Linked DNA regions of Danio rerio. The protein of the gene in region 2 interacts with the protein of the main gene of each other region in a pairwise test. Links are inferred from orthologs where the notes say so. Each region holds a gene or a part of one and is shown on either strand. Other genes may lie near its edges. The genes, in order: katnbl1 and katnal1.

Region 1 (13,090 bases), on a different chromosome or scaffold from region 2:
TGTTTTTTTACTAAGCGGAAATTCAAACCGTTTCCCTGATGACGTTTGACAGTTGCCAAATCAGTTAAATAAATGACCGAAGTATCAAATAATACCTGCCGCGAGTATTGCCGCATTCACCATCGGGAGGCGCTATAATCACTCTCGTAGGAGAATTTTGCTTTCACCATCCAAAATAAATAAAGTTATTCAACATGTGCGTCCGATAGCTCCGACCCTTCCGCTACGTAAGCAAACCTGCGGTCGTTGAGTGCGTGAAGTGTCCATCATTACACACTTCATTTTAGCGGCTGAATGAGTGCATCATCCAGGTTATTAAAGTGCACTTATTATTTTTAGAGTTTTCAGTGTGAACACACTATTTATACTATTTATACTACAACATGGCATACAATAGTGCATAAGCATGTGATTTGGGACACGGCTAAAGAGAAATGCCCACCATGACTTATCAACATTGTTGAAGCAGTCAGAGTGCAGAGTGTATGTGTGAGCCCAATGCAGGAGTACATTAAAGCAATGCAGTTTAACAGCAGCAATTATTGCTCAATTCTTAATCATAAGTAAAAATAGTGACACACATTCAGCATTAATCCACACAGTGACGAAAGCTGAACTGTTTTGAAACTTGTCTGCTGCCTGTGTGTAGGAACAGCTGACGGTGGCCATACCAACGACAAACAGCAGTGATAAAACTGCTGTGATAAAACAAAGCAGCATACGTTTTCAACATAGTTTTAGATGTGATATGGGATTATAAAGCGTTAATTAGATACAGTACAAGCAGTTACAAGTAACAAAACACTATTAAATACATAATTTGCAAACTAGAGAAAACAAGAAAGCAACCATTTTAAATGCACTTACACATGTTAAATGGAGGAAGGAGCTGATCCATGCACTGATAAAGTTCCTGTCAAGCTCTGACAAAGTCCCATTCATCACTTGTCTTTTTTTTATCCTTCCTTTAACAAACGGCTGACGAATCCCCTGTTATAAGCATGTAGATTGCTGAAGCACTCGTCAGAAAAATGACAGGAACACAGCACAAGGCTGGGGCTATAATGCTGAGGTATTTTTGCAAAAATAAACTTCAGCTACTGACTCTTCATAGCCTCATCTTTGGGTAGGGAAAATAACACTAACTTTCCCTCACACTTCAGAGCACAGCATCTTCATGACATGATTTAATTGGGATTTGCTACAGTGCTTGTCTTCCTTTTTTTCTTTCTACAGTGTTGTGGGCAGGGCCGGGGGTTTCAATTTTTCTGGGTCTGAGCGCGCAACAAATGGACGGGCATAAGTGTCCATATGGACATAATGCCGACACGGCTTAAGACTCGTTACCTTGGCTATTCATTCGAACCACTATGAGTCGACTCTTTTATAGATTAATCAATAGTTTTAAACATGGTGCATTTTCAGATTTAAGCCTAGCTGGATATTTCACTTTACGTAGAGCTGTGTTACACGCTGTAGGAAATGTCATTTTCAAAAACCCATAATAGGGGCTCTTTAATGAATATTTTGCTCATTCCTTTTAAAAAAATTTAAATGTTCATAGATTTACAAAAATCTTTCATAAAGGCCTATTTAAACCAAGAACAATAACTGTAATACTTGTTCTAAATCCACAATTGTGTACAATGGTACAGAAGTGCAACATCACAGGAATCATTTTCAGAAAATATTTCACTTGAAACACTTTCATTTTTTTGGTCTTTAAAAACATGATAAATGGCCCTCATAACACATCATAAATAAATTGCCAAACAAATTAAAGATTTTTTATAGCTAAAACTGTTGTAGTTTATAAAAAATATGTCTGACTCCTTGATTCTGATTGGTTGAACCAATTAAAAATCATGTACTGCCTAAACTTAGAAAGCAGCACATATGGTTGATAAACAGTATTTCAAAGTATGTCCTTATTAGCTTATTAATCTGTCTGAGTTTCGGTCTGGTGCTCCAGGCATGTGTGACAACAACCCATACTGGACCCTGCTGGAATAAAAAATGGCATGTGCTGTTGGTTTGACACATTGTTGCTAGTTCCTTGCTGGTTTAAGCTGGTTCTTGCTGGTCATAAGCTGCATGGTCATTAAACCAGTAGTCATGTGTCAAACCTACCATTTTTGTTTTGTTTTGTTTTGTTTTGTTCCAACAAGGAAGCTCCTGCTCATGCCACTATTGACAGACCTGCATTCAATATGCTCTTGATACACTCAGTCAAAAAGGTAGCCTACAAAACTTGTAACTGGGGGAGTACCTTTTCAAAACATATTTTGTACTGGTCCACATTAGTACTTTAAGGATATATTTTTTGTAACTTTAAGGTATCATGAGGTACTCATTTGTACATTTTAGGTACTAATTTGTATGTTGAACGTCCTTGACATGATAGGTACAATAGTGTATCTTTTACAAATGTACTACCTCTATGACCTATTGTATCTCTATTTCAGATAGTGTAAATCCTCCTGATCAACTAAAAAAATAAAATAAAATAAAATACAAATGGCTGAATCAGGAAGATAGCACTTGTGCCAGAATGAATGCCAGTTGAATTAATATTGTCCTCATTGCCTGCCAATTATGCCTTATGAACATTAAAATATAGTAATGTACTGTATGTAATGTATGATTAGGAAAAATGAGCACTGACTGACTTTGAATATGACTTTCGCCACTACAGATTTTGAACGTTGAGACATCACTAGGTAGACACTAGGCCTATAGACAGAAGCTAAATATACCACAATCTCAAAAGTGTATATATTCTTAATTAGGTTTAATGTCAGGTTAACCAAACAAAGATGAGTTCAGAGGTCAGAGTTTATTTTTAGGTTAGCACATAGGGTCAGGGAGTTTTTAAAGACACAAAAGACTGCGGGTTAAACTGTCACATTATTTGAGGTTTGCATTATTTTGATGTTTCCCTTGTTTAAACAAATTGCAATATGTACCAGGAATTATGGTTACGCCACAGAAACGTTTCTGATTGAGCTGAGACAGACAGCTGATAAATAAGCTCGCCCGCATTCATTTTCGCTTCAACGGCGCCACAACGCCATCTGGTGGCTGCATGAAATGTGTTTTGGTTTTGGAAGCCGTCCAGAAGACACTTAAAATTAATTATCCTAGATCAGTTTTGCCAGTTTTGGACATACTGTACCATCCAGCAAATCTTACCTTTGGCAACAGGAAAGAAAGCCAGCTGAAAGATGATCTCAACAGATATTGACTAATATTTCTTTTGTGAATGTCAGTCCTACAAGTCAGCACATGGAACTATAAGTGAAAAGAGGATTTCTTACATTTTAACTGACTACATAAATCATTAACATATTACTGTCTCTAAGACACAAAGGCTTGACTATTCGTAACTTGCTTTTCTTTAGATGTCTTTGTATTAGCATGCTGCTAGTGCTAGCAATTTATACATTTAGGCTACTACATTTATAGCCCTGCTAATCTTTCATATTTTTATATTTTTTACATCCTAAGCAGCCTGGTTCCAGGTTTTGTCATTAGAGGTGAACTGGAGATGAAGAGGAGAACAGATGAGCATTGCAGGAAAAGAGATGTGAACTTGTTGTGTCAGACACATTTCTCCTCATGTTACATCACAGGTGGAGGTCTGTCATGCTAAAGCAGAGATGCCCAGACTAGGGCCTGCACACCAAAGTTGGCCCGTGGTAACCTTTGATTTGGCCCACCATCCCATCTGGAGGAATGATGGGGATGGTTTAAAGATTGTCATTTAAACCTTTTATTGTTTTTTAATGACATTTTGTTTAACATGTACATACTGTCACCTGATGAATCGAGGACAATGCAGAGATGTGTGTGAATCAAGGCAAAGGCAGATTCTACTTGCACTAAACTACACTTATAAATGTGATTTTTTTTTTTTTTTTTGCAATATGTTATAATTACAGTTAGTTTATATGATTTAAAGTGATGTTTTCTATTTATTTATAAATATTATAAAATTAATTTGAAAATAATGCAAATTTATCTTTGGCCTATGGCTATGATGATATTTGGATTTTGGCCCTTCATATGAAAATGTTTGGCCACCCCTGTGCTAAAGCATTTGCGAATGTCTTATTGGGCATCCATTTAAGGATAAAATATTACACGCTCGAATATTTTAAGTATCAGATGTCAGTTTGAGTGCTTACCTGCTTCAAATGAAAGATTATTTGGCATAGCAACTCGGCCTCCTTCACAGATATTATATCATCACCTACAAATATAATATGTGGTTATAACATCTGGGTAAAGCAGATCAAACCATCTGTTTCCATGTGCTTACAATCTGTTTATTTACTAAAGATTGAGTGCTACGACAGACTAGTACATTTTTGTGTTAGACTTCGAAACTGTGTCTTAATCACAGTAAAATAGAAGCCAAGCTCACACATTCAATTCCCAGAAAATGTCTGAAGAGAGAAAATGTTAATCTGAATTAAGAGCCCGATACAAAACATCTGACAAATTCTTATTACTATTTTTTTTCACAAATTTTCAGCACTTTTATTCAGAAAGTTTGAATTTCATTTTAATTTCTAATAACTGTTGGTAAATGGGACTTCTTTAAAAATAAATTTATACTGTGACATATTGAAATGCAACCTTTTTTTTTGTAATTGAAACCAAAAATCCTTTTTAAAAAATGTATTTGTGCCTGTGTAAAAAGTCAAGTGAACTGAATGGCATTTTTCCGATATTTTATTTCCTGGAAGTGCTGTGAAGAATGTATTTTTGTTCCCAAGTGTCTGCCCCTTTTATTCCAATAAAAACTAAGGAAGTAAAGTCTGTTTATCTTTAGATGACTTTTTTTTTTTTTTTTTTTGGTTAGGCTATTTTTATTCATATTGAAATGGTAGCTATTACTGCAGTCTAATAGTGACTCTTGAAAGAGCAACTATGATTATTATTTTTATAGAACGAATTGCACAACCCAAATAACGATGCAGCTGCTTGGTGAATTTTTGTGGCTGTCTGAATATGAGTCCTGATGTCGGCTATTTTATTCAGTTTTCCCGATCAGTTATTTTTTTAACTGTGGTGAGATTTGTCTTCAATGACACATTCTTCAAGAAATGCGTCAATTTCTTGTGCTTAACTTCAGGAATAATTGTAGGACAGATTAAAAAAAATTACGGTTGCCTACTGCATGCGTGCTGTTTCTGTACATTACTGAAAGTTTCAGTTAAGTCCCCAAATCTTGCTTTCATATATTAACTTACACCAGTCTTATGGCAGTATTCACAACACTGTTCAATTGCTGATTTATTTATGAGTCAGCCTCACAGCAAGAAGGTTGCTGGTTCGAGTCCTGGGCCATTTCGCTGAACCACCAACTTATCCAGCACGTTTTTACGCAGCGGATGCCCTACGAGTCGCAACCCATCTCTGGGAAACATCCACACACACACACACACACACACACACACATTCATACACTACGGACAATTTAGTCTACCCAATTCACCTGTACTGCATGTCTTTGGACTGTGGGTGATACCGGAGCACCCGGAGGAAACCCACACAAACGCAGGGAGAACATGCAAACTCCACACAGAAATGCCAACTGAGCCAAGGTTCGAACCAGCGACCATCTTGCTGTGAGGTGACAGCACTACCTACTGCACCCCTACATCGCTTGTCTATAGTGTATGTGTGTGAATGAGGGTATATGGAGGTTTCATAGTACTGGGTTGCAGCTGGAAGGGCATCCACTGTGTAAAACATATACTGGATAAGTTGGCGGTTTATTCCGCTGTGGTGACCCCTGAAGAAAAATAAATGAATCTCTGTGTCCCTTTATTACAGTTTGTGGTTTCATGAAGTTTTTCAGGACCTAATGATCACATCAGCGCCGATTGATTGTTATCACCTTTCTTAACTTCTTTGAACTTAAGGTCATGAGATGCTAAAGGATCTTAAGCTAACAAACATCCATTCTAACAAGGTTTTTCCTGTAGATTAAAGTGTAATTAGTGATAACTAAGGACCCTTTATTTGTAACTTTTTCATCTTCCTTGAGTACATTTCTGTTCTTTATCACTGTGAGTAGGTTTGATCATCAAAACCAGTGATGTCAAGCACTTAGCAAACCTCCATGGAGGGCCACAGTAAGATAAATAAAAAAATCAGAGAATGATCTTTTGCCTGCTCCAAAAAAGTCACATAAAGGCACATAAAAAAGTCAGTCAGAAATTGCTTGTAAATTGCTTTTCTACAAATACAAAAAACTAAATCAATGAAAAATTATATTGCATTGTATATGGTGGAATGGTGGAGGCCTTATAAATATTTTGGGGTTGTAATCTAAACAAAACTGATCAAAGAAACTTTTGTAAAATAAAAGGTTTTCTGACACTTCTAAGCCAATAAAGAACCTTGATTTGTTTATTTATTTATTTTATTATTTTGTTTTTTATTATTATTATTGTTGTCAAATGGGTTGAGAACACTCATTTACAGTTAATGTGTTAAAAAAGTTTGAAATAGTTAAGATAAATCTGGATATTTATTATTCATTTTCCTTCAGCCTAGTACCTTTATTTATCAGGGGTCGCCACAACAGAATGAACCGCCAACTTTCATATGTTTTACACAGCGGATGCCCTTCCAGCTGCAACACAGTAGTAGGAAACATCTGTATACACACTCATTCACACACATACACTTTACAGCCAATTTAGTTTATTCAGTTCACCTGTACCGCATGTCTTTTGACTGTGGGGCAAACCGGAGCAACCTAAGGATACCTATGCGAACACAGGGAGAACATGCAAACTCCACAAAGAAATGCCAACTGACCCAGTCGGGACTCGAACCAGTAACCTTCTTGCTGTGGTGCTAACCAGTGAGCCACCATGTTGCGTAAGTCTGTAAATTTACAGTTAATAAAAATTTTTCTTTTCTTTTCTGTTGTATTATTATTAACTTTAATTACATAAAGCTATAGTTTGGAAAGATGTTGCTTCTAAAAATACTTCAAACAAATGTTAGCTTTCCAAAAGGAAGCTGATTCATTGTGCCCCACCAGATGTCGCTAAACCTTCAATCCTGCTGCTTCACCCATCCCAGCATTTCAAGTTTGTATTTATTTGAATGGTCCTTCCTTTCCTCTGAAATCCACTCAAATTCCCGTTTCTTCCTGGTTGCGCGTGGACACACTCTCGGATATATAACGTGCTCTAGGATGCACAGACAACTTTACACAATGCTATGGTGGGTGTTTACGAAATACGCTGGGCTGGCAACGTTTAACAAGTTATATGTTGTGTACGTGCTAAGTCCTTGTTTGCTAGCAGGTGATTAGCTAGACTTGTTTGCTTATCAGCTAGCTATCTCGTGTGTTTTCATCACCTGCTTTGATATAGGGACCACTGTGTGAGTGTCGAGTAATCTCTAGTTTTGTCTTTTGCAATTTAAGTTAGTTAAAGATTGGCGACTGTACGGTAAAGTGTGGTTGGCTTAATTAGCTCGCTAGCGCTAACAAACCCTACACCTAAACAACAACGTCACATCACTGGAGGCCTAAAGCTCCGTCTGACAGATGTCTAGACGTTTACTAGGAATGCTAGCTTATTAATTTGAAATATTTAAGTTGGATTTAATTGAACCGGTTCGTAGATTCACCCTCTTCCTCTGACTCAGCGTAACGTGCTACGTGGTAAGACCCTATGGGTAAGACGTCCGTTTGAAAATACAGAGCATCCTATTTGTATCTGATAACGAACTATGGGTTATTTGCAAGACACGAATAATATAACATGTTTGTATATATAGTATTTTTTAGTATAAGTTTATATTAAGATAATGAAACCCAGTCCTAATTAAAGGGTATTAACGAGTATAGAACCTTAGCATATGTTCCCGTCTTGCTTTTTGGCAACCAAATAACAACCTTCCAGCAACCCTTTCGGATTTTTTGTGATCAAAACCTTTTTCTTTTATTTTGTGGTAAATCTAACGAAAACATTGTTTCATTCTTAATGTTATTACTTTAATAAAGATCATTTGACTAGTTTTATTGAGAAACTGATTGTTGTCATACACTCTAAAAGAGAAGCTATACAATTGAGGCTTTGAGCAAACAAACTGCAGCTGTTTGCTTTAACAACACCATGTATCCTGCCCTGTGCCAAATATATATATTTTTCCATTGTACTCTAGAGTCCATTATTATGGCCACTGGAAGTCATGTTGGAAGTAATGCAGAAGTCCACAGGCTCAAGCAGGCTCAGCCCCATGACCTTCTCAAACGTATGCTTTGTTCTGGAGATGAGAAGAACATGAGGGAGGTAAGACCATTTCATTCACACAGACAGTGGTTTGTTATGCATATTCATGGTGGTGTTCGTTTCGTTTTTTAGTTATGAAAAATATTCAGTGTTTTTAGCTGGAATACACTGCCCAATATTTGTCCAATTTTACGGTCTTGATGTTTAAGCATTATATGTAGAAGTTCAAAGGCAGTCTGCAGTGTTTTTGGCAGTCATAGAAGCTCACATGATAGGCTCAAACAAGGTAATTGTTGGTAAAAGAAGATATGTATTTCTGTTTTGGAGCATTTTAGTGCATAGCTATTGCAATGTGTGTGCGCGAAATAGTCACATCGCAGAGTGTGCAATGTTGAGATATATAGTTGACTAGGAGAGACTGTTCAGAACACATTAGGTTTGTTGGGCCACTGGAGAGTTTAACCATGATGGAGTGAAAGTTTATAATATGCATGTTTTTGTGAGCATTTTAATAAATTTAAGAATGAAATTCAGTAATCTGGCACAATAAATGTTACTGTTTGTAACTTTAATAAACATTAATTTAATTGATTTATGCAGAGTTTTGTGCTGTTGTTCATTTGATTATTTAATTTCTGTGCCTGAATACTGCTAGACTCTCCAGGAAACCATAATGTACTGTTGATTTCACTTTTTATCTTTGCTCTGTTGTATTTATCTTTGCTTGTCATTTGTTTGCTACATGTAATGCATGATTCACTCTCCTAAATAATCATCCCAATCAATCTAAAATGAATAAACTCTTCTCAAATAGAGCTTCTGCTTAAATTGTAATTGCAATATACAGGGGGTCCGTGATGTCTTAAAGTCTTAAAATGTCTTAAATTTAAAAAACAAAATTTAAGGCAATAAAAAAATCTTAGTTTCTGTATAATGATGAATCGTATATCTTAAATTATTTTAATCAGGTCTTAATTTTCCTATGTCCAGGAAAAGCTACCCTATCGGCCTGACACCCAATCACAAATAATCCATCTAAACTTTTCTTTTATTTTTATGCTTTTTTATTATTGCAAAGAGATACAATTCACAACAACTGGTAAACATTTTACAGTGAATGCTCCAAATTAAATTCCCTATTCAGAGAAAGACAACTAAGCAGCACATCCCTTTACATGATCTTCCATTAATACAAAAACTATTTACAGAAATAACCGGCCTATTGGGAAAAAATCTTTATTTTAACCCTGTATAAGTCTAAAATTTCATTCATAATTGACTTAAAAAGTCCTAATTTTGACCTGAAAAATAAATATTGCAACAAATTATCACAATGTCTATTTTTCTCCAATATGGCCCTATATCAGTGACTATGCGGGTTTCATTCTAAAATGATCACAAAAACCAAAAAGTCACTGTAACAAAAACGTTTCCTTGTTTTCAGATACATTTATTTACAGCCAACTTGATGTTATAACTTGAGCAGAGTTAGGAAAGCAATGTTTAGTATCAATTACAACAAAAGTTGACTTTTCATTTTTTTGAAACGACAGCAAAAAATTGTCTAAATGACAATATATTTATTTAAAATTTGGGGGAATATGATGTTATACAATAAATCAATTCAGAAAAAAATGTTTTTTTTTATTGCTCTCTAGTCTGGTAATTTATTGTTTGCTTCCCACTTTTTTTTTTCTGGTCACCTAGAAAGTTTGATACCTACTGTTTTTAAATCTATTCAGATTTTAAGCATTGTGTCATGTAATCCAGCTTTTAGTAACACAACTTTTTAACTGTTGTCTCTTTTTTTAGGTGGATTATTTACTGAAGGACGAAACTGATCAAGAGAGGTATGTTTTTGAACTATACAGTAGCTTACTTTTACAAATTGAGGTAAAATTGGATTTATATTCGCACATTTGTTCAGTGACAACTTATTGACACAGTCTCTATATTGTTTACAACTCTACTTTGAATATTCTGTCTCAAATCACAAGTGAGTATGTCTTGAAATCAATGTTAGCACTAATTAATTGCTTGAACAATGTTGTACTTTTATAGTTATTCACTACTAATATGATTTCACTCTTTAGAATTTGCAAAAAGTACTATTCTGAAATTATTTTTAAGGAGAAAGCCTGAATGTGTGAATATAAAACCAACTTTACCTCAATCTTTTACAAGTCAGTTTTAAAGTATGAGATTGTGTTCTGCTCAATTACACAGATTTCCAGTGGGCCGTTGTGTGCACAAATACAGCAAAACGAAGAGAGAGGTGGTTGGCAAGAAGAAAACTCGTCTCTCTGGGGTGGGACCAAGAGCATGTCGGAAATTGCCCACCACAAGCAGGACATCTGACATGGCAAACAAAGAAAACGAACTGACCTGCGTTGATGAAGTGCAGGCTTTTCTTTACAGTGACAACTGTGGGTTCCCAGTGAACTCCACAGACGCAAAAATGGCAGGAGCTGGCTCCAAATACAGCGATTATTTTACTGAGGTGAGCTAATGCTGTTTTATGTGAAGCCTACAGGTGTGTTCCAAATTATACACTACACACTGTTCTTTTTACACTTTAGTTTGTTATTTTTACATCGTAAGACCCTCCACTTTTTAATTCAAGCTCCATCAGTTGAACACTTTTTTTTAATAAATTTTTTTTTTTTACATTAGTGTATCATCCACATTTTTGAAAGTGCACTATTTTTACTTTTCGTAATTGTGAATGCAATGTTTGCTCTATTCCAAAAAATGGCATAGAATATGCTTTTATAATTGTCTATGATATAGTCTTCAGGCTATCATGTTTGCAGTGTATCTGTCATGGCAAACTGATTTGAAAATGGTATTATTTATACTAACTTAATTTGTTGAATTTCAGTTATCAAAGGACCATGAAGCAATGAGTCATGTGCTCTTCGGAAGGAATCTCAGACTGAATGTTGCTTTGACTCTTTGGCGGAAAAATGCAAGCGAACTAGTGGCATACTTAAACAGGTTAGCAGTTTCACATTTAGTGGAATGAAGTTCAAATTAATCAGAAAACTGACTGGTAAACATTTTTTCATCATTAAAAAGGTTGCATTTAGTTGATCAAAAGTCATTGTAATCTTGCTTTTACTTAAGAAATGACTGTTACAAAGTTAGGCATCTCAGCTGTTTTTAAGGTTTTGTACTAATACATTTTAGAAAATCACCATGTTCGAATAATTGGATTCTATGATTCACGATTACACAAGAACTGATTGACTGCTGTACATTCAGTTTAGGTTGTTTTATAATTTCTAGACATTTTTATATCACCATTTCACTGCATTTTTATGTAATTAATCCTGCCTTGCTAAGCATAAAAGGCAAATTAAATATCACATGCAACTATAGATTTATTTAAAAATAAATGCAGTGCTCAACATGCACATTAGATAGTCAGTACTGAAGACAAATCTGGATAACAGTCCAAAATGAATACAACCAAACTTAAATGTTAAGCAAAAATATTGAATAAAACATTTAACAATAGCAAAAAAAAAAAAAGAAAAAAAATGATTTAAACAAACTATATAATATTTTGCATGAATTTCAATGTATTATCTTTATATTTCTAAAGGTGTTCGTTGACTAAAATATCATTCATTCATTTTCTTTTTGGCTCAGTCCCTTTATTAATCTGGAGTTGCAACAGCGTAATGAACCGCCAACTTATCCATCATTTGTTTTTTGCAACAGATGCTCTTCCAGCTGAAACCCATCACTGATATCCATACACACTCATTATTACACATACACTACAGACAATTTAGCTTACCCAGTTCACCTATAGTGCATGTCTTTGGACTGGAGGAAATCCACACAAACACAGGGAGAACATGCCAACGACACAGCCGAGGCTCAAACCAGTGACCATCTTGCTGTGAGGCAATCGTGCTACCCACTGTGCCACAGACTAAAATATTTTTTTAATAAATAAATCTGTTTTGTTCAAATGCCCCAATATATATTACCTATATTCACTGAGAAATGGATATAATTATTCATTTTCATAATGGGATGTATTCATTTTTGTTGAGCACTGTATATGTGTGTATTTATTTATTTTTTTAAATTGAAATGCTGCATGCATATAATTATTTTTATTTACAGAATACAAGACACGGGGGTGCTTGTTGACTGTTTGCCTGTACTTACTAAAAGGTACCGTAGCCTATTTAAAAACCTTTTTCACAACATGTAAATTTATTCAAAGTTTGTCACCGATGTAATAGGAAGACATTTATCTTCATGACAGTTTCTTTTTTTAGTCTTCAGGGAGAACAGCCATGCATTTCACTGGGCTGTTGTGTTGATCTTTTTCCACAAGTGAAAATGATTCTTAACACTAAATATGAAGAGTGAGTATTCTGTCCTTTGCCTTGTGCATTCTGATGTACTCTTACTGTTTGTTGTAGTTCTACCTAAATTGGACTTCATCTTTGTTCTAGACACCTCATCGTAGCTTTACACTGGGTTCAATCTATCATTAAGAAATGGTGGTCTGAGCTCTCCACAAACAACAAAAGTTTGCCCGAGAGCAGTTCAAACGACAGGTGTGTTATTTCTACCTTTACTGAGGTTAAATGGCAAAACATCTTAGAGAAATTTGCTAAACACTCAACATGCTTGTATCTAACAGGAATGTTCAGGCAATGAAGACAATGCTGCTTGAACTGTGGCAAGGAAAGAGTCACTTAAGCTCAGTTCCAGGAACTGTAGGAGAAACTGCAAAGGTGGATAATTCAATCATCAACTTTGTAAAGTGAAAGACTGCAGTGTTTTACAAAAAATGT
Region 2 (12,922 bases):
TGTGTGGAGTTTGCATGTTCTCCCCGTGTTTGCGTGGATTTCCTCTGGATGTTCCGGTTTCCCCCACAGTCCAAAGACATGCGCTATAGGTAAATTGAATACAATTCTCTGTATTGTGTGTGAATGAGAGTGTACAGGTGTTTCACAGTACTGGGATGCGGCTGGAAGGGCATCCGCTGAGTAAAACATATGCTGGATAAGTTGTCGGTTCATTACCCGGTGGCGACCTCTGAGGGAGAATGAATGAATAAATAAATAAATAAATGAAACAAAATCCCACCTGGGATCATATACATTCCCTTTAGTTTCTGGCCCCCCATACTATATAAACTTCTATAATCAAAGTTAAACCAAATAATTTGTTCATTATTAAGGGCATCCGCTGTGTGAAATTAGAATAGTTGGCGGTTCATTGTGGCGATCTCTAAAATAGAGACTAAGCTAAAAGAAAATGAATGCATGTCTAATGTAAATCTGTTATGATTTGAACTTTTTATTGATTTTCTTATTTGCAAATATGCAGATGAATATCAAATACAGAGCATTAACATTAAAGCAGAACAATACAAAATAAAGAAATTAATTCCGTCATAACTGAGAAAATAAACCAAACCAAAACAAATACAAAAAAGAGGAAGGGTGGGTTGACAATAGCATATGCTTAATTATTATTTTGTCCCCTTACATATTTGGATTGTGGGTCACAGAAATTCAGAAATGGTCCCTATTCATCAAAATACATTTCAATCTTTCCATGTGGACTGTAGGAAAGATTTTGTTAAGCTGTTTTTATTATTAAAGACCAACTCATTCTAAGACCAATATGACTAAAGATTGCAAAAACAATGAGCTGGATTGATTGATGTGTATTTTTGTGCAGTATAATAATTGTAATATATATATATATATATATATATATATATATATATATATATATATATATATATATATATATATATATATATATATATATATATATGAATGTATGGTTTTAACACCACACACTGAGCCAGTTTTGAGGCCTTCGTGTGTTTTTCGTGACAAACACGGGCTTAAAAAGAGCACATGAACGAATCACCAGATGAAAATCTTGATTAATCCGAGCCGCCTGCTGTTCATCTGCTCAAACTGCATAGTTTTAGTGGTGTACAGCGCCACCAGACGAGTGTTTTGCGCCACTGTCATATGTTTATAGAGGCCGTGACTCTTCAATCTGATTATATCAGCTGCTCTCCGTCCATGCCATCATCATTTTCATGCCCTTATTTCTGAGCTTGGATTTCCTGTGGGTAGTATACAACTGCATAGATCCTGTGGTAAAGATACATTTGTTGATTACAAACTATATATTGGGGTCGAGGGGTTTTCAGTCAGTCAGTCAGTCAGTCAGTCAGTTAGTCAGTCATTCAGTCAGTCAGTCAGTCAGTCAGTCAGTCAGTCAGTCAGTCAGTCAGTCAATCAATCAATCAATCAAAATATAATTAACACCAATTGTTAGATTTACTTATTATTTATTTATTTATTTATTAGTATTTTGTATTTCTAATGTATCTTTATAGATTTATATTATGAACATATTTGTACTGTTTTAGTGTATTAAAAGCCTAAAAAGGATTACCCATTGGATAGAAACCATTGATGCAACGGGTGCTTTAAACTGTAGCAAAGTTACACTGCATTGTTCCAAACAGAAATAATAATAATAATAATAATAATAATAATAATAATAATAATAATAATAATACTATTTATAATGATAATATTAATGATAATAATGATAATAACAATAATATTAATAATAGTGATACTACTACTACTACTACAAAAAATAAAAAAATTAAAATAATAATAATAATGATAATAATAATATTAATAATAATTATACTACTACTACTACAACAAATTATAATAATACTCATTATAATAATAATGATAATAACAATAATAATGATAATAATAATAATAATTAACATGATGATAAAATAATAATAATAGTTTTAATAATATTTTAATAATATAAATAACAATAATAATAATAATAATAATAATAATAATAATAATAATAATAATAGTATTATTATTATTATTAATAACAATATTAAATAAATAAATAAATAAATAAATAAATAAATAAATAAATAAATAAATAAATAAATAAATAAATAATTTTGTGTGCATTAGAGTATAGCCAGTTTACTTGAAATAAAAAAAATCTGAAAAAAATGAGGGAAAAAATCCCTATCAAAGATTTTGGCAACAGTTTATCAAGGACACACAGTAAAATGTTCATCAGTGTAACTGATTATATGCCAAAAAGTCTTATATTTATACAGTTTTTTCTCAGTGGCTTTGGTGCATTTTTCACTACACTATTTACATTTGCACAACAGTTAATGCATTTCTCAAAACAATCAGTCATTTGTGCAGATCATAGTAGCAGTTTCTCATTCCTTTCAACACATTGCAAATGCTTTCGGACATGCATCAATTGCTTTTACACAACTCTCTGCTGTTTATAACATTATCATCTGCTTGTCATGTCAGTCATAATAAACTAAACGTGTGAATGCTGAATAGTCATTCCATATAGAACTAATAGTCCTCATTTCATTACTTGAGTCATTACATACAAAAATGTTGAACTTGTTGTCAAAATCTGTCAAGAAAATGTATTAACTTTTAAAAAATCAAAACTTTTAAAATGTATTTTTTTCTAAAAATGTCTTACAGTTTTTCTCAGTCGCTTTGCTGCATTTCTCACAACACTAGTGCATTGCATTTGCAATTACAAACTGCAAAACCTAGCTGATAACCTGCAAAAGCGTGTCACTTGCTCAAAATGGTTCATTCCTCAAAAGCAAGTATTGATGTCAATGAAAGTGTCAGTGTGATCAAGATGAAAAGTCATGACACCATTGTTTATGAACAAGATAGTCAAATGGCTTTGTCATGTTTTCATTATGACAGTTTACTCGGTACATTTTTTCCAATGCAATAGACAGACATTTGAAAACTACAGAATGTTTTACATGTTTACTGAATTTGCTCTTTACAATCCTAATTTATTCACAGCATTGTGCAGAACAGTAAATACACCCTTATTTACAACAAACATAAACTCCCTTTGGGTAGAGCTGTGCACAACTGTAGACAATATTGCAGAACATATTGGAACTGAACCTACAACACACAAAGGTCTGTAAATCATTCAGGAAATTGTTCAATTTAGAAGACACTTTCAGGAAAATAAAGATTTAATTTAAAAAAAAATAATACTTGCTATATTTTGAAAACTAGTTCAACATTTTTGTATGTAATGACTCAAGTAATGAAATGAGAACTATTACTTTTATATGGACTGACTATTCAGCATTTACAAGTTAAGTTACAGTTTTTCTCAGTCGCTTTGGTGCGTTTCTCACAACACCAGTGCATTTCTGTACAACAGTTAATGCATTTCTCAAAACAAAAAGTACAAACTGCAAAACCTAGCTGATAACCTGCAAAAGCGTGTCACTTGCTCGAATGGATAGTTCATTCCTCAAAAGCAAGTATCGATGTCAATGAAAGTGTCAGTATCATCAAGATGAAGAGTCCCGACACCATTGTTTATGAACAAGATAGTCAAATGGCTTTGTCATGTTTTCATTATGACAGTTTACTCTGGACATTTTTTCCAATAAAGTCAGCTTTTGGTGACACTTCCTGAAAATGCTCAAGACAGCACTATATGCTATTTGCACTGAAAATTGAAAACTACAGTAAAGTTAGACATCACTGCATTTAGTGAGGTATCTGAGAACAAGACACTGAATATGTATGTTTCACATGTTTACTGCATTTGCTCTTTGCATTTCTAATTTATTCACAGCATTGTGCAGAACAGTAAATACACCCTTATTTACAACAAGCATAAGCTTCCTTTGGGTAGAGCTGTGCACAACTGTAGACAATATTGCAGTACATATTGGAACTGAACCTACAACACAGCTCTGTAATTCATTTATGAAATTGTTCAATTTAGAAGACATTTTTAGAAAAATAAAGATTTAATTTTGTTTTATAAATTTGCTAGACAGATTTTGACAACTAGTTCAACATTTTTGTGTGTAATGACTCAAGTAATGAAAAGAGGACTATTAGTTCTATATGGAATGACTATTCAGCATTTACAAGTTTATTTAATTTTGACTGACATAACATAAGCAGATGATAATGTTATTAATAGCAGAGAGTTGTGTGAAAGCAACTGATGCATGTCCAAAAGCATTTGCAATGTGTTGGAAGGAATGAGAAACTGCTACTATGATCTGCACAAATGACTGATTGTTTTGAGAAATGCATAAACTGTTGTGCAAATGTAAATAGTGTTGTGAGAAACGCACCAAAGCCACTGAGAAAAACTGTAAATTAAACAATTTTCTGATTGATTTACAGACCTGTGTGTGTTGGTTCCGTTCCAATATGCACTGCAATATTGTCTACAGTTGTGCACAGCTCTACCCAAAGGGAGTTTATGTTTGTTGTAAATAAGGGTGTATTTACTGTTCTGCACAATGCTGTGAATAAATTAGAAATGCAAATGCAAATGCAGTAAACATGTGAAACATACATATTCAGTGTCTTGTTCTCAGATACCTCACTAAATGCAGTGATGTCTAACTTTACTGTAGTTTTCAATTTTCAGTGCAAATAGCATATAGTGCTGTCTTGAGCATTTTCAGGAAGTGTCACCAAAAGCTGACTTTATTGGAAAAAATGTTCAGAGTAAACTGTCATAATGAAAACATGACAAAGCCATTCGACTATCTTGTTCATAAACAATGGTGTCGGGACTCTTCATCTTGATGATACTGACACTTTCATTGACATCAATACTTGCTTTTGAGGAATGAACTATCCATTCGAGCAAGTGACACGCTTTTGCAGGTTATCAGCTAGGTTTTGCAGTTTGTACTAATTGTTTTGAGAAATGCATTAACTGTTGTACAAATGTAAATAGTGTTGTGAGAAATGCACCAAAGCAACTGAGAAAAACTGTAAACATACAGACACATGGACGGACGGACAGACAGATTAGATAGATAGATAGATAGATAGATAGATAGATAGATAGATAGATAGATAGATAGATAGATAGATAGATAGGACAAATACAGTTCGCTTAAAAATATCTAAATTGGATATTTTATAAAATATAGCCTAAATAAAGTGTACACAGGGTACCACAAGTCCCGCCCACAAGACATGCACTCACTCATCAGTGCGCGTCTTCCCGCGGCCATGGCAACATCAGCAGGCAACGGACTGAGGACCAGCCGAATGTAAAAGTGCCTTGAATAAAGGTAAGACATTTACTCATTGGCATGCAAATGAGGAATTAAACATTGAATGCATATATAATGTCGTACGTTCATAGAAGGACCCATAAACTAACATACTGACTTTATATTTAGTTTTCTTCCAAATCCTTTTTGTTATCGTTGGCCTAAATCTTGAGCGTCTTCCACTGTTGCCTTCTGGGTAATGTAGTTTGTTATTGCTGGTTTCATAGTGTGTCTGGGTTTAGGCACAACGGAAAAAACTACAAGTCCCTTGTCAAGGAAAACGAAAGGCGATGACGTTAGTGCTACTCTTACATGCAAGCAAGAATTGATATATTTGATTTACTAAGTAAAACATACTGAATTTGAATTACTAGTTTTGTGTTGTCACTTTAGATAATTTTGGTGGAAATACAGAAAAAAACACGCGACTAAAAAAAACACGAGGCGCCTGGGAAGGTAATTATTATGCGCCTCACGTCAGGTGTCCGACAAATGCTTTATTTTGACAGTCGCTTTGTTTGTGGTCAGGACAAAGGTTAGTATAACAGAGTTTAGTAGTGAGTGCAGATTTACATTCAGACCCAAATAGAAATCCTCTAATGTTGATTGTATTCAGTCAATCTCAAGTGTGCCGCAAGCCTGCGTTTGAGTGAAGGTCTCGGCCGTTAGATCGCCCCCTGGGGGCTGGCTGCAGTACAAGTCATAAAGCCCGCCTCCTCCGTGTTAATGAAGGAGACTTGAGCCCAAATAAAAAAATTAATTACACTTGCAATAAAATGTCCCGAAAGATGGTTTTGGTCGATTAAGGCACTGATTATTGTGCTGAAATAGGTGCAGATCCTCATTTTTGTAAACAGTTTGTTTTTAGCAGTAATTTAATGCTGGGCGTGTCATCGTGATTGACAGCTGTGATTGACAGTTTCTCAAAGCGCGGTGTCTGAGCTTCGGCAGAAGACTGAAGTGTTATTACTCGATTTCTGTGATATTTTACTATGACAAAATAAGTTCAGCAGTAAACTACAGTTTCTGACATACATGATCTGGTGGAACACTGTTTATTCGCTAAGGTCAGAGCTTTTTTCGGGCTTTATTAGTTTGCTAATACACGCCTAGCCACCCAGATAGCAAAATACACTGGGGCCAGTTCTTGCCTGCCGGAGACTTACCCCTCAGACTGACTACCTCTGCTGGACTTACTCCGGATGCCTGGACTCACTGCCCGATTCCAGCCATAGTCAATTGAGCCAGATGCGGCGGCCGAGCGAGCAGGCGCTGCCGCATGCGAGCCGGAATCAGCCCGCGACGCCGCAAGTAGGTTATGTGCGCTGCTGCCTGGAGCTGGCGCGATTGAATCTTCATTATATAAAACCCTCACATTTGTTAACGTTATTACAACCATTTTTGTTGATATAACAACAAACGCATGCTACTATGTGAACGCAAAGTGTATCACTGAGTTTAACCTTTGAATAAAGATGCAAACAGCATACATAGCAATTATTTAAATAAAGGACAAAATAAATAACAATAAACCTGTATATTGCACAAGTATTAAATATTAATACAATTGAATACATTTTGTAGTGCACAATTAAGAAATACGAAAATGACAATAAAACTGCACAATAAAATAAACCCATTTAAGTACGGGGAAAATACAGGAGATCGTTAGCAGTAATTCTCTTTGTGTCTAAATAATAATCTCCACGTTGATCTCCTGTAAGGTTATTTGAACTTGCTTTACAGGACGTCTCTGCATTTTAAGTTTTGGCATGTTATTAAGTAATAAACTGAATTTGCTGTTATAAATCATTATAAGGTTCTTGAAATCGAATCTTATATAACCTAATAGAGCTGTAAATTTTAGATATTATTTATTTACATCATTTACTGTTGCCGTTTTATTTGAACACTCCAGCTAACATGAAGGCATCGAATAAACCAAATGAAAACGGAGGCAAAAAAATTAAATAAATAAACAATTCAAGCGAAAATGAATAAACAATATACTAGTGATGTTGCAGCAGATAGACATTGTATTAATAGTGCAAAGTTTTTTTGCACAAATTGACAAATTGCAGGGTTGGGATGTGTAAATATCCTCTTGATATTTAAAAATCTTGCTGTATTTATCTTCTAAATGCACGATTTTCCCGCATGGTAAATCGTTATGTGTAGGCTATATTTTGGGTTCTGTTGATGGCTATTTAAAAATAAAAACCTTTCTAAAAATGTATGTGTTGTTTATATGTTATTGTTCATATTTTACCAGTGTTATTTCTACCCCTATGATGATAACAAATACCAACAACAAATATAACAATAAGAGAATATATTATTTGTGCTCATATTCAGGCTAGAGTGTATAAAAGATCGTTTATTTCTGCAGTCCAGCATGTATTGCTTTTATTAAAGTTTAACAGCTTACATCACACCGTTTTCAAACTGTATATTATTGTGTTTTTTAATGTAAGTGCTTCTATTTACATCAGTGAGCGTTTGTTATAGTGCAGACACCGGCAGTCGAGTGAGAAGTTCAGGGGGCGTGGTTGATTTTACATAAAGCGTTTGGTTGGAAGCTCGACTCCGCTCATTTTCGCGGCTCCTCCTCTGGCTCCATCAGACAGTCCTTCTGCGCATGTCAAGGCTCCAATTTCAGCAGTCTTTTGCGACAGTTTGTGCCCGTCAAGCAGGCGTTTTGCCCTCAAGGCGTTCAATGGGAAAAGGGGCTGTCGCGTCGTCCATATTTTTTACAGTCATTGGTCAATCTACATGGTACGGTAATGTCAGGTAATGTAAAAGTGGAGAAGACTGGCTTATTTATTCAAGACTCAGTTACTACTGTACGTTTTAAAACGTTATTACAATAAAACATCAAATTTATACACTTTAAGGAGACCAGGTCGGAAAAAAAAACACTTGAAATTGAACGTTGCAGTTTATCATGAATATATAAAAATGCCAAATATGCTGCATACTGTGAATGATAACATTTATATTTTGGGCTTTTTGGCTCTTCATAAAGTGTAAGGTTTAATGGAGTATAGTCTAGTGCAGGGGTGCCCAAACCTTTTCTTATGAAGGGCCAAAAACCTAACTTGAATGAGTGCAGTGGACCAAAGGTAAATTGACAGATACATAAATACACAAATAGTTAGACATATAGACAGACAGACATAGATTGATAGATAGACAGACAGATAGATAAATAGATAAATAGATAGATAGATAGATAGATAGATAGATAGATAGATAGATAGATAGATAGATAGATAGATACATAGACAGACAGACAGACAGATACATATATTACAGATATATAGATATATAGACAGACATACAGACACATATGTAAATGGATAGATAGATTGATTGATTCTCACTCTCTTCTCAGCTGGCATGGCAGGCCAAATCATAGTTTACCATGGGCAACTTTGTCCCGCGGACCCTAGTTTGGGCATCACTGGTCTAGTAGAAAGAAAACAAACTTTTAATCACAAAAGCCTACATATTTGTAGTTTTTACTCAAACTTTTTATATATCTTTACTTTGCATATGCTTGTATACAATTTTCCTTTTTATATACTGTATTTCCTACAAATAAATATTTATTTTTTGTCAATAATAATAAGCCTAGAGTGATAAAAGCGAGACACATTAATTCCCCTTTTTAAAATCACTTGACTCTAATATACGACTGATAAAAAGAGTAAAAAGAATTTTCATTAATTGATTTTCCTTCGACTTAGTCCTTGTATTACTATGGGGTCGCCACAGCGGAATGAACCGCCAATTATCCAGTATTACACAGCGGATGCTTTTCCAGCTGCATCCCGGTACTGGGAAACACCCATACACACTCACATTCACACTTATACACTACGGCCAATTTAGTCTATTCAATTTACCTGTACCGCGTGTCTTGGGACTGTGGAGCAAACCCACGCCAACACGGGGAGAACATGCAAACTTTACACAGAAACGCCAACTTACCCAGCCGGGACTCGAACCAGCAACCTTCTTGCTGTGAGATGACACTGAGCCACCGTGCTGCCCCCAAATGAATAATTATATAATATTATGCAAACAATATATGCAAATTAGTGACATTTTATTAAATTAAGCCTAATTTGCATATTTAAAGTAAACAATTTGAACAGAAAATCTGTAATACAAATAAAAGTTTGCAATTTTTGATGTAATCAGTCAATTGGGGAATAGCAGTAGTGTTTAAGAAAAAGCCTTTTACTCTTATCAGCTTCCATTTGTCACATTTATTTCATACGCAGCTTGTACAAATGTACACATACGCACATTTTCTATTTTCATATACTCAATGAATGTATATTTTCTCACACACCATTAACTGTTAACAATAAAAATGCAGTTACACACAGCCAAAACTAAACTGTATCTTGTATGCGTTTGAGCAGTCGAGACTGAGTAATTGTATCAGTGTAAATGATTGATTCAGCTCTGCATCATCTTATCAGCCTCTCTGTTCTCTTCAGGACTCATGGCCTGATATCAGCAGCTCTCAAACTAGAATCTCTGAACTCCAGTCGTGTTGAAGAAACATTCTGATTTCTCTCTCATCATGAATCTGACTGAGATCTGCGACAACGCTAAGAAAGGAAGAGAATACGCGCTTTTGGGGAACTATGACTCTTCTATGGTGTACTATCAAGGTGTTATACAGCAGATCCATAAGCACTGTCAGTCCCTCAGAGATCCTGCACAGAAAGTCAAATGGCAACAGGTAAAACTCTCTTATACTTTATAACTGTCTAACTGAATATGTATGAGTGATTGTTTATTTAATACCAAAATATATACAGCAGTGCTTCCCACACATAGACTTTACCTGGGTGGGCCGCCCAGGTAAATTTAGTGATTTTTTTTTTATTGTTATTAACATCCTTTACATTTTTTTTTGCATCCGCTCAATATAACCAAACATCTGCAGTTGATCAAGTAGTGGAAAATCTTCTCTCGTTTACCTGTTACGTTCTGTGCATGCGAGACTTGTCAACACTAGGAATGGGATGATAACCGTTTTCAAGGTATAAAGCGGTTTGGAAAAGTTAATGTTTTAAATCCGCCAACATTTTCTGTAGGACCGTTCCTAAGGTATAAGTAAGATTTTTTTATTTACAACAGAATTTTCAGCAGAAAAAGATGTCGTTTTAAATAGTAAAGAAATCTGTGTTTTTGAAAGAAATGAAGACAGCATAAGTCAATGATTGATTTGAATTTTTTAGCCTGACATGATTGCTGCTCCAAAATATTATAAGTCTTTCACAAAATAAAATATATTGTTTTCAAAGAGAGAAAGAGTTTTAGTTTTTTTTTTTTTACATTTAAAAAGAACATATTCAAGAGCAGTAATCACAATACCGTGATACCATGAAACCTTGATATTTTTGTCCAAGGTTATTACACAATCAGAACCGGCCCATGCCTAGTCAACACACACTGACGGTCTCGCGTGCTCTGCAGACCCACAGAGACATATTTTTTTGGGACTTAAAATTTGTCTGCCCCGGGTTTCTAAATCTCCTAAAATGTCTAAAAAGTCTACTTTTGCTTTTCCTCCTAAAGCTTGTATGCGTGTTTACATCACCTTTTTACTTAAGGCTATTCGCTTTGCTTCGCAATTTGCGAGAGAAACATTCAATGATTAATTTTTAAAATCTAAACAACTTTTACAAATTTTACAATATACGCGGAGAAAATGTACATCATTAGTAATGGTTAATCAACTCATTTGGCTTAATAATCTCCTTTTAATCTTGTAATTATGATCATTTTTAGAGATATTGACTTTTTTTTATTCCTTTTTCTGTTTTTTATTTCTCATTTGCTGATTATTTCATTAATGTGATGATGTTAATATGTTACATAGGCTATTTTATTTACTTATGTAAAATGCTTTGGCATTTAAGTTTGCTCTGAACTTGAAAGAAAGAGAGACGCAGATTTGACCTGTCAGCGGGTGCACATGGCTCCTGAATAGCATAAAAGTAAGAGAAATTGTGGATGTGTTCTTCTTTTTTATTTATTTTTTAATTTTTTACTTTACCCATTGAAACTTCACAGTGTATATTAAAATTATTGTTCAATTTAATTATATATTGTTTGTCTCATATAGTTAACTATTTATGTGATTTGGGTAAATGGTGTGTTTCAGTTTGTGGCTACCAGCTACCACTGAAAGTAAATTTCAAACCTGTGGGCACTGATACAGTTGAAGTTGAAATTTTTAAATCTCCTGGAAATTTCTTTTCTTTTCCAAATATTTTCCAAATATGTTTAACAGAGCAAGAACATTTTTACAGTATTTCCTATAATATTTTTCATCTGGAGCAAGTCTTATTTGTTTTATTTTGGCTAGAATAAAAGCAGTTCATGGTTTGTTTAAAACCATTTTAAGGAAAATTATTAGCCCCCTTTAGCCCATTTTTTTTTAGTCTACAAAACAAACCACTGTTATACAATAACTTGCCTAATTACCCTAATCTGCTTAGTTAGCCTAATTAACCTAGTTAAGCCTTTAAATGTATCTTAAGCTGTATACAGGCCCGGATTAAGAACTCAGGGGCCCCTGGGCACATTATCTTGTAAGGCCCCCTACCTGGCCGCACCCCTATAGTTGAATTTAAAAAATAAGAATAATAAAATAATTTTTAAATAAAATGAATCTATAATTTGTTGCCCACATATTTAAATAAATGATATATAGTACATATGTATTTATAGTCTGCAAAGATTTAAATTATTTTTCAAAGCATTAAATAAAAATACTAATAAAACTACATATATATATATATATATATATATATATATATATATATATATATATATATATATATATATATATATATATATATATATATATTTTTTTTTTTTTTTTTTAAGGGTATTTTAGTGTATTGGTTTTACAAACTTATAAAGCATATTATTGCCGTGGCATATAACGCACAATGCTTCTCCAATCCAGTTCTATGAATCTGAGTTCTATGAATCTGAGTCTTTCATAATACAAACACTGATTTACTGTCTCTCTCCTCCTCTCCCTGTATTTTCTCTACTCTTCTCGTGATGAAGACTTGATTATAAACCTAAAAGTATCCGAAATCACACACACTATACCTCTTCTCTTCCGTCTCTCTCCTCTTCTGGGCCTTTTCTCTCTCCCTCTCTCTCTCCCTTTCTGTCTGTCTTACACACGATGAATCCAGTCCGCGCTGCGCTGCCGTTAGCCTCCTCTGCCTGGTTAATGCTAGCTACTCATCATTTAAAGTTAACGTCTTCTTCTGTACCCTCATTCTCCTGATCACGGGTCTGTTTAAAGAAGGTGTGTATGGAAAATGCCTCAATAAAGATGCCTCCTCTCCTCTTTCTGTCGCGTTTGCTAAATCCACTTGTCCACTCATTTTTGATCTATGACAGATATAACGTTACACTAAAGTCCGCTCAGTTTAGTGCGGGTTATTACAAAACTGACGTTTCCGCACTTGACCAATTACAGCATTCTGTTTAGTTAAAGAAAGAAAGGCAATTTAAATATAATAATAATATTAATATTTGATCGC

What was found.
Region 1: the proteins of katnal1 (region 2) and katnbl1 interact in binary tests that used the Homo sapiens proteins (3 or more experiments, as listed by UniProt). The two-hybrid records come from large-scale screens. The link is inferred for Danio rerio from reciprocal best matches to the Homo sapiens genes KATNAL1 and KATNBL1.

What each region holds. Positions count from the first base shown.
Region 1 is NC_133195.1:31,939,139-31,952,228, forward strand, and holds the start of katnbl1 (KATNB1-like protein 1), read left to right. Parts: upstream 1-7,151; 5' UTR 7,152-7,251; exon of another isoform or gene 7,252-7,706; coding exon of another isoform or gene 7,707-7,710; intron 7,711-8,199; coding exon of another isoform or gene 8,200-8,210; coding exon 8,211-8,327; intron 8,328-10,079; coding exon 10,080-10,117; intron 10,118-10,493; coding exon 10,494-10,767; intron 10,768-11,148; coding exon 11,149-11,264; intron 11,265-12,407; coding exon 12,408-12,458; intron 12,459-12,565; coding exon 12,566-12,655; intron 12,656-12,745; coding exon 12,746-12,850; intron 12,851-12,936; coding exon 12,937-13,030; intron 13,031-13,090.
Region 2 is NC_133185.1:41,476,369-41,489,290, reverse strand, and holds the start of katnal1 (katanin p60 ATPase-containing subunit A-like 1), read left to right. Parts: upstream 1-5,262; 5' UTR 5,263-5,345; intron 5,346-9,838; 5' UTR 9,839-9,924; coding exon 9,925-10,086; intron 10,087-12,922. UniProt on the Homo sapiens protein: Regulates microtubule dynamics in Sertoli cells, a process that is essential for spermiogenesis and male fertility. Severs microtubules in an ATP-dependent manner, promoting rapid reorganization of cellular microtubule arrays.